Drosophila melanogaster: one gene and its partner. The gene in region 2 interacts genetically with the main gene of each other region. Each region holds a gene or a part of one and is shown on either strand. Other genes may lie near its edges.

Region 1 (5,162 bases), on a different chromosome or scaffold from region 2:
GCATTTTGGGTGGCTTAACTTTTGGCCCCGAGCGAAAGCTCAATGATCGCCCCCGATACCAGTCCCTTGGTGGTCCCCTGGAGAAGTTGACGGATTGGCCAGCGACGTTCCAAGCTTGGTCGTTTACTTTTGGTTCGATAAGACCAATTATTATTTTCGACCAGCTCTTGTAAGTCACCCAGAAATGTTTTTAACTAATATCACAAGCAGCTGAGCTGGGCCGAGTCGAGTCAATTCCGTAGTGTTTATCTCATTTAAGCTGCACCTGAGCCCTCCATTCACCTTCCAGTTGTTGGGTTGTTTGTTTCTTGGCGCCGTCTTTTGGACCAGGTGCGATAAGGCAGCATTCTTGTTGTTGGCCAGGCGCCGTCATCATCGTCTGTTTCTGTACCTCTTGTTCTGGGGTGTACGTTATGGACCTCTAATGCACACACTCCCAATTATAATTAGTTTATTCATATCCTGTGTCGAAGTTGCTGCCTCATTTGTTGTTCTTTTCCACAATCTTAATTCAATTTACTGCCTATCAGACGAAGTTGCAACGAAGGGTCTAGTACCCTTCCCCTACGCCTGGTGAATGAAGTTGGTCAACTAAGTTGTTGATCTACTTATCCTATATAATCCCTAATATGTCTACAATTTAAGGTATACATTAAAGTTTTAGGTCTACAGGCAGAACACGTTCCCATTTGAGACTATCTATTAGCTAAATACAATAAAAATTGTATGTACTTGAACTTTTGGGTAAAAATGTATTGACACATGGATTTCGAGCTCTCCAAGGGCATTCGAGATTCGCTCCCAGGTAGCAAAAATTACCCCGTGTCCACCCTAATGGATCAGAGTGCCGGGACGGTAGTCCAAAGGTAGACGCAAGTTCAAATTGTGACTCAGAGCCAGGATCAGCAACTCAAGACCCACACAGAAGACCAAGAAGTTGTTGATGGTGAATGGCGATGCTGTAGCTACAAGCTTAGCCCGTGTTGGTGATGTTGATGCGGGGCCAATTACTCATAAAAAGCATGTTAAGAACAGCAGTCGCAGTGAGGAGCTATAAATTGGGACCGGAGGGGATCGGGGATCGGTGATCGGTGTTCGGGGATCGGGGATCTGGGGATTGGACAACTGTTGCCCGACGCCATCTCCATCTTCGACTGTTCCGCCCTGCCCTTTGTCATTGTCTTGTGTGGTTTGATAAGCGAATCCGAGGCAGACGGTGGGCAATTTGTGGACGACGACGTTAATTTCTCATGTTTGCATGTTCCATTTAGCGAGGGGCAGGGGACAAGAATTAATGAAGCACATCTCAAAGGGCCCTGGCGCCATCTTCCCGCTGGAGAAGATTTCTCTCGGGGGGTGTGTTGCCATCAACGATCAACAATCAACCGACATCCCTTCAAAAGACAGCGCCCCAAATTGGGAGCTGTCGAGCAATCGAACAACAGCGAATCAAATCAAATCAGAGTTCGTGTTCAGATAGCTGCCAAAAATTCGGGTGTATATCTACAAGATACAGTATCTAAGGTATCTGGCAACAAGTTTTAATTGTATGTTGCCGTAATTGAATTGAACTACATTTCGGTGGAGAACATATTTTAATTTTACGCTGTACGGGACAATCTTATCGAATCTTTTCGGTATTATCTATTGGGAATGATGCTACCTCATAGATACAAATACACTGCGACCAACTTGCGTCACAAATTCGTTTAAACTTGTGCTGACAAGTCACATGAGTTATAAGTATTAATTAAATCAGTTGGCCAAGTGCCCGATTATCACCAGGAAAGAGGGTCCCGGTTTTCCTTTGCCTTATCAGGACCCACATATCTGTCTATATTTGTGTTATTTTCACTATATATTCGGGGCCCTCGTCCGCGTCACGAAGCTAAGTGGTCAGTGGCTTTTGACAAGATTATCGGCGGGTGATAGGTGTGGCTGGTTAATTTCATTTATTCTGTAGGTACACGGGACAAGCATAAGACTATGCCCCCAACTTTCGACCAAAACCACCTCTAGAAGGGAAAAACATCAGCTAGACAAAACGTGATTTATTGGCGCTGACTGCACTGCTGACAATTTGTACTCTTTAATGGTGTTTAATTAAAACCAATCAGCGATAAACTTATCGAACTATCAGCTAAGGCAAAGGCGAAATCTTTCGACCCTCAAAATTGAGTTAATAAAATTCTATTCTACAGCGATGATACGATTTGGCTTGATATTTGTCTGATTTGATATGTCCAGGTGGGAAATTAATCAAATTTAATGATATTTATGTCTCGTCATACGTTTTATTTTTCCCTCTTCACATTGATTGGGATGATTAGACAGGTGAATTATGAAATTCATTTATGGCTTATACTTGTAGTATTTGTCTATCATGCTGAGAAGTAGGTTATTCGCAAGGTGTGATAATAAGTTTATGTGATTTGGGGATCGGAAGTGGCGGAAAAGGGTCAAGATTAGTTTAGGGCTAAAACAAAATTTATATAAATTGCTTGATTAAGAAAATCCCTATCTTTGATATGATATAAGGCAATGACTACGGTTGTGATAAAAAATTATGAGTTACAGTAACTAGGATTCCCTGTTTAATGCACGCTCTCGATATAACAAATCCTATTCTGTCCAAAGAATGTTTCATATATTTTTGATAAAATGTCTGAGACTAACCTTCCTTCTCCTCCTTAATCGCCAGATATTGTACGGATGGTCTTGATAATGTTTGGCCTTCTGAATCTCTCTCTTCCTATTTAACCGGGCTAATAAGCCCTGTAGCTCTCACCAACAGTAACTTTTGCCGACGGTCTTTTGTCCACTTCTTCCAACAACCAGATACCGAGTACCAAGCGTTCACTTTGATCGCGATACACCTTTGATGGGTATAACTTTGTACTACGCGCAGGATACCGACACTTCCGCAATCGTACGCACTTTAACCCGGAAACAACAATGTATCCCCAGCTCGACTATTCGAATCGGAATCGGAACCGAACGCGACGAGATGACCGGGCTGTTCCAGAGCCGGCAGCAAACTACACGGTGAGCAGTTGGCGCGCAGGTGAAAACTCTGGTGGGTCTGAAACAACAACCGGTTGGAGTTGTTGTTTTCCAATGTTGCGAGAGTGGTTTTCTGGCCTCCCAGTGTTTTTAGTGTTTCGTAGTGCCGCAGAGCGAGAGGGAGCGATGCGATCGGAGCATGTCGATCGATCGTCGCAGGTGTCGCAGGTGAGGCGGCAGGTGGCCGGGAGGCGGACTCCGCCTCTTTCTGGCGGTTCGGCCTATGGGAAAGCAGCATTCGACGGAGCGAAATAATGGCGGAGCTGCTCTCTACCGCTCTCTGTCGCTCCGCATGGCCCTCTCTCTCGCGCCTCTTCGATTGGGCGTAATTGAATAAGCCCCGCACAAAGTGCAATAAATTTGATTAGCAAAATGGAAATTTATTTGCCCCCCAGCTCAACGCGTTTTCCTCTGGTTGCCATAGATGCATTTGCCAGTTGTTGCGGCTCATAAATTAAATAATTTAGCCAAGACATATGGGAAAAAGAGTTGCGTGTATTGGGGTGGGGACTTGGAACCGGCCATATAGACCGTTTTGGTAGTGTTAAGGGCCTCGTTAATGACTTTGTTGGCTTTATTGGATGATTGTCGGACTGTAGACTGTTTTGCTTACCCATCGGAGTGGGGGTGTCATGCGGGGAAGGGCAATAACTTGAGAAAAAGGTCAATGAGCCAGCTATGTAGATGACTCAAGTTAAATTTGAATGAAGGATGTTTGGAAAAGCCGTTGATAGTTTTTAAATAAGTGAATATTGATTTAGATTGATACAACGTGAAATACAAGCCATAGGCTTGTACATCACATCATTTTTATCACATCCATCTTCGTAATTTAATGTAATCCAAGGAAAAATGTTTTCCGTCCATGATGAAAAACTGAACTCAGCCCAGCTCTTGCCATTTCCGAGCAGACCTAACAGATTCCATTCCTTGATAACCACTTCATTAGGCTTTATATAAGCGGGCCTTATACATCCACAGATCCATTCCAGCGGCATTTTGCACTGGAAGCGTCCCCCTCCTTCGACCATCATTCGCTGCCCAATTTGCTTGTATCGCAAGGCAATAAATAAAGTGTTAATGGCAATTGCATACAAATAGTTTGGTGTTGCCATTATATGGCCATATTATCCCATTGTCGGGCCTTAACAAGAAGTAAACAATGCGACGCTCTCCGAGTTCCATTGCAGATCGGAATAGGGATTGGAGTCGGAGTTGGATCGAGTCCGCTGCACTGCTGCCAATTTCACGCTTCATTTACGGGCGAAATGCAAACAAAAGACCAGCGACCATCGACCGTCGACGGACGAGGAGTGACCATTTGTCCGACGAGTTCAATGGACAGCAAACTCGGACCGGGATCGGGAATATCTGGTACCGAGCACGGTATCTCTCGTCCCCATGTGGCCGTGTCAATCAGCCCGTCGCGCAAGGTGTGCACTTATTATACCCAGTGTTCGGGAAGAGCAAGGGCTTGATGTATTTACCCTTGAATAAGATGGTATCCTCACAATTGAACTTCATTTAATTTATTTTAATCGGAATCCAAATTAGAGAATTGTCAGGTCTTTATATGTACAGATTCAGTCCGCAGCATATATGCTTATAAGAGGATATTTGATGGTTTATTCGAATAGGGAAATTTCGTAATTTAGCGGTGAAATGGATCTAGTACTAGGTATTCCTCTGTCTCAATACATCCGTGTGGACATTCTTCCCCGTTCGGACTCAATTCGGGTCCACTCTAAGCAGGCTCAGATCGCTCCACAGCGCGAAAGAGACGGAGGCTTAAAGTGAAAGAGTCGCGCATGCGCGCACGTCCTAATGTAATTATTATCTCAACAATTGAATTTCCGGTCCCGACTTCGACTCCGCGCTGTGGCTGTGGGTCTGCATCCACTCCTGCACATGGGACAGATGTCGCGCAAAACGCTACAAATGTGCACTTAATTGCGCAATTAAATAATTTTATTTCTGCTGCGCGTTTTCCTTTTTCTTCTTTTCCCCCATAAGTCGTTCGCCGTTTTTCTCCTGGCTGATAGCAAACAAATTGCAGCCAAGTGGCCAAGTCAGCTCGCCCGTTCCCTATCTGCTGTCCG
Region 2 (5,045 bases):
TTTCGATAGCGCAGAACAAGTGAAAAGTGACACGCACACGCAAAAACAAAAAGCAAGCACTTCACAGCTTAACACCCTAATGTGCAATATTTTTGACTACCCCACATCCACGCACACAGCAAACGGCGCTCTTTAACCCACCACAGCCCCCTTATTTTGTGTCGAACATCTTCTTCTTCCTATCGAAGTGTGAGTGAGAGGGAAGACCGTAAGGAGTGAATGAGAGCGGGAGCCTCCTCCCCGACCTTTATAATGCGTTCTCTTTTACTCTCACTTATTTTATGCATTTTTTTTATTTTATCCAGTTTTGTCTTTTCTTGTTGTTTGTTTAGATCTTTGGCATTTTTGCAATTTGAATCCTATATTATTTCTTATGGTTTTTATTGGTTTTTGTATTGGTTTATTTTTACGATAAGTGTCTTGCTATAGATTTATCTAAATCGAAAGCTTATTAAAATTGCATTTGTTAAAGAAAAAGAAAAAGATATAATATTTTGCACAATTTTAAATGTTTTTTTCTACTAATTTTTTGTTACTTGCAATTTATCTAACACTTTTTCTTTGCTTTTTTTTCTTCGCCTCCGTTTTTTTTTCTTGCTGTCTCCAGTGCGTTAAAACGCCAAAGGGGCGTCCCTCTCCAGCTAACGCCCCCACCACCCCCCGCCACTAGTGCTCTCCCTTTCGCACTGCTAACGACAAGTGACAAACACAAGTTGCAGAAGAGGCAGCCGAACAAAAACAACAACTAAAAATAAAAAAGAAGGAAAGAAAAAAGTTTTTGCGACCAACAGTTGACAGTCGAAAAGCATTTGACATTTTACCTTGGCACGCACACAAGCACCGCCAAGTGCGAAAGGGACAAAACGCGGGCAAATGTCACTTTGAAAAATGCCATTGGCCCGGCCAGCGAGTGTGAGCGAGAGGGCGCGACGGCCGGAGAGCGTGAGAGCGAGAGAGCGCCATTTTGCGCATCTCTCAATGAAGCAACAATAAAAAAACCAGTTGCTTAGCAACGCCCCCTCTAACCGCAAAAAAGAGAGCTGGAGAGCAGGAGAGCCAGTGTTGCAACAACAATGGGCAAAATGGAAGGGCAACAACAGCAACAAAAACCAAAAATATCCTTACAGGAACAACGCCAGCACCAATCTTGAGAAAAGGATCAAAAGCCCAAGATCAACAGAAGAATGTGTGTAGAATTTAAAAAAAAAGTGAATTTTTGGATTTTTAAAATCTTATGAATCTAACAAGCATCTAGTAAGGCTAACTAAATATTTAGTTATCATGCTAAATATATCAAAATTTTCAAAGAACTTATATTGTGTATTATCGAACAATCACCTAAATTAAATCCTAAAAAAGGAAAAAAAATTAAGATTTCTTGATATTTTTTTCCAATTGTTATGAAATTGTATATCCTTTTCCAAAATATTTTTAATAATAATCTAGATATGCATACCAAATATTCTAGTCATATTTTTTCCATTTTTTTAGAAAACGTTTTGAAAAACAATTTTTTTATTTAAGAATAATATGATTTCTTCATGCCCAACACGAGAGAGCCAGGAGAAGCGACGGAAGCGAGAGCGAGAGAGCCTGCGACTCCATTGCAGCGCCGCCAGCAGCGCAGTCGGCGTCGCAGCAGCCCCAGCTCAACATTCGCTGCATCTCGCTCTGGCGCAGGCGAAATATGCGAGCACTGCTTGCCGCATTCGGTAGCACGAGTGCGAGCGATGCGCCTGCTAGCATCTCGCTCGCACCCAGGCGCGCCATTCGTCGCCGCTTCGGCTCGCCGTTCGTGTGTGTGCGTGTGCGCTCGGCTGGCAGCTATCGGTAATCGGGCCGTCCGCTTTGCCGTCGCGTTTGCCGTTTTCCGTTTTCAGTTTTTGTTTGACGTTCGCGTGAAGCGCCCGCAAAACGCAAAGCGCACGAGGCAACGCTCGAAAAAGGAGCCAACGCAGCCGTTTACCGTTAGTCAGCTGTTTACCGTTCCGCCGCGAGATCGAAAACCGAGAATTTTTGCCGTTGTTCAAATTTTTTTGCAAGTGAGAATCTTGAACAACAAGAAGAATATACAACACATAAATACAACAAAACCAAGGAATCGCCGAAAAGCCGATAGTGCAAAGTGTTTAAAAAGAAAAGAATCAATTTCATATACAACAACTAAAGAAATACTGGAATATAAGGCATAATAGAAGCGGAGGAAGTTTCTTCAACTCAAAGAGGAGCGGAATTTCGCGCTTTGTTTTTGTTTTGCCAAATTTGCCGCCGGCACACACGTGCTATCCCCCTCTTGCTCGCACCTTGCCACCCAGTCTTTATGTGCGTTAACCGTTAAGTGTGCAGTTGGGGCCCGCTCCTATCTTTCTCTCCCTCTCTCTCTCGCTTCCGCACCCGCACACACACACATATATCCACACCCACGCGCGCCTCGTTCACATACGCACACACACGCGGGACTTAACCCATTGACGGCCCCCCCAAAAAAGCAGTCACTCTTAACCCCCCCGAAAAAAAGAAAAACTCCATCCCCCCGGCATCAAGATATTCGACAACAAAATTCTCACCGAGGCCTCAAAAGCGCCCCTGAGGGCCGTCGCACTGGCGTCATATCTGGGCGACGGGTTCGCCGCCCTCGGTAGCCGCGCCCCCCCGCCCAAGGACCATCTGATGGCGTTCGGGGCGGTACTACACACCAGCCAGCACAATATCGGTAAGTGATCGTTTTGGGGAATTTAGGCATTAAGCGGTTAAGGGTCCAGGAAAACATAGAAAATCTGGGGGGTTTGCAGTGAGAATCCCAAACAGGCAAGTTCTTAAGGTTAGTCACATATAGGATACTGCAATCGAAATCATTTCATCCAAGAATCAGCACTAAATCTTTGAGTTGTGCTTGTAGTTCTATAGAATAATATCATTGGGAAGTCAAGGATGAAACATTTTACAGATCGAAAATAGAAGTTGTTTACATCTAATCTAGATTAAGTAATATTCATGATGTCCTCTATCGAAATAGAATGAAAACACCTGTTTGTAGGCTTCGTATAATATTTAAATTGTTTATAAAATCTGTAGACGAGTGATCAATGACACCAATGACACATTTCAAAAATACTTTTAAAAGATGGCAAAGAAGTGAATTTTCGAAAAATGTACTGACAAAAAAGTGGAATCTATTAAAAATGGCTTGATCGCTATGCCGACGGGATGTGGTCTTAGATTTTCAACTGGTGGTAGAAAGACATAAGAAAAGTAGGGTCGAGTGCGGTCGAAAGTCCTTAAAAGGAAGTCAACCCCTTGAAGGATCGGCGAAATGCGATCCCTAGGATGGTGGGTTAATACAATACCGCTTGCCCGCAATGGGTTAAGATGGCCAAGGAGTTTTTAATGGCGACGGCTGGGCAGCAGCAAAGTTTTTGCACTTTTGAACTTGCTTCCCGTTTTTAGGGGACCGCCGGCGAGGAGGAGAGGGGCGTCTAATGCCCCGTCGTCCATCTGCCGTCTCTTTTTCGCATTACCATTTTGTATGCTTTTGAAGTTCTTGTTCATCTGTTTTTGTTTCGGTTTTGTTTTTCCTCCTCTTGTTTTCCCGTTCGTTTTTGGACTGAAAAACTTTTGCGCAGTTGTCAAAGTTTTTCAGCTTCTTCTTCTGCCGTTCTTCCTCTACCCCATCTCATTTTTTTTGGCTTTTGTTTTATTTCATTTGCTCTCTGTCAAATTTTCACTTTTGCTGACTGTTTAATGTCAGGAACAAAAAAAAAAAAAAAAAAAAAAAATAGTAAAAAGGGAGCAAAAAGTTCAGAAATGAAGGCTCCCCTCTAGTTTTGTATTTTGTGATTAGTTGGTGAGGAATATTTCGTTTATATGTATGTATGTAGCTCCCCATCAATTTGAATAACTATAAAAAACATTTATAAACTACAAAATTAAGGATCTGCAGAGATTTAGAGACCGAACACTCTTTTCGAGTATATTTTGGATTCTTATCAAAAGAAATGAAATGAGAAATGATTTAAGTACATATTAGTAAAAATGTAGTAAGGTATTTTATACCACAAAAAATTTTTCAAAAATATTCTAAAATCCTCAATAGCTTCGTTTTCGAACCAGTGAGGTTCGATGGAAATTGCAACTGCAAATTCTCCATTTAACTTGTTGACATTGGACATACAGCGGCCGACACCTTACTTCCCCCATAAATTGGCTAGAGAACTGTTGGGGTTTTTGGGCTTGGGGCCTGCAGCTCCGGGGGCGGTTCAAGTCAAAAGCTGTCGACATTTGACTGGAAAATGGATGTTCAGGAAGCCGTAGACCCGCACAGTGGGCCACCTTACGACGGCGGACTGATGCCAAGTGGAGTCGTAAAGCTGCCAAGCTTTCTTCTTCCTGCTTCTACTGTTTCTCGGTTGGATTTTTTTGTTTTTGTTTTATTTCTCGCTCATAGACATACCCATTAGCTAATGACTAAGTGTTGGCAGTTATGAACTTAACTTGCATTTAGTTGGGGAAAACTACAAAGTAAAGTACCACTGAATATAACTCGGCTTAATGAAGATAACTTTTCCGCGCAGTAGCTGTATCTTTTTTCGAAAGTTCGTAAAGTAATTTGGAATCAGGAAAGATATCCAATTTTTTATGGTATAGTTAAGGTTTTGAAATGAGATGGAAAAAATGTATTGGAAATACTTAAGATAGGATACCAATTTAGGTCGTTGAATCTTTGGTAATGTGTTTATTCTTAAGGAATTTAGTTTTCAAAACTTCAATAGAATAGGGTAACCCCTCGTCGTTCAATTACCAATATCATCGGCCATTTCTCTGGTCGACTGCTCATTTTTCTTCGCATATATCTTGGTGGCAGCATCTTTTCAATTTTTATGTTGCTGCTAGCGAACACGGCAGCAACATGCAGCAACAGCAACGTGCAGCAACAGCAACGTGCAACAGCAGCAACGTGCAACAGCAGCAGCAGCAGCAACAAAAGCTCAGACCGGCAACGCCTTCGACAAAAGTTTGCGCTGCTGTTCATCAACATTTATGACTGG

Evidence for each region.
Region 1: of Lim1 (region 2) and al, changing one enhances a phenotype caused by changing the other (phenotypic enhancement), as found in Drosophila melanogaster (2 studies listed by BioGRID).

Annotation. Positions count from the first base shown.
Region 1 is NT_033779.5:375,996-381,157, reverse strand, and holds the start of al (aristaless), read right to left. Parts: upstream 3,047-5,162; 5' UTR 2,677-3,046; intron 1-2,676. UniProt on the Drosophila melanogaster protein: Involved in the morphogenesis of proximal and distal pattern elements in a subset of appendages. Also has a role in early imaginal disk development.
Region 2 is NC_004354.4:8,802,632-8,807,676, reverse strand, and holds the start of Lim1 (LIM homeobox 1), read left to right. Parts: upstream 1-1,872; 5' UTR 1,873-2,670; coding exon 2,671-2,713; intron 2,714-5,045.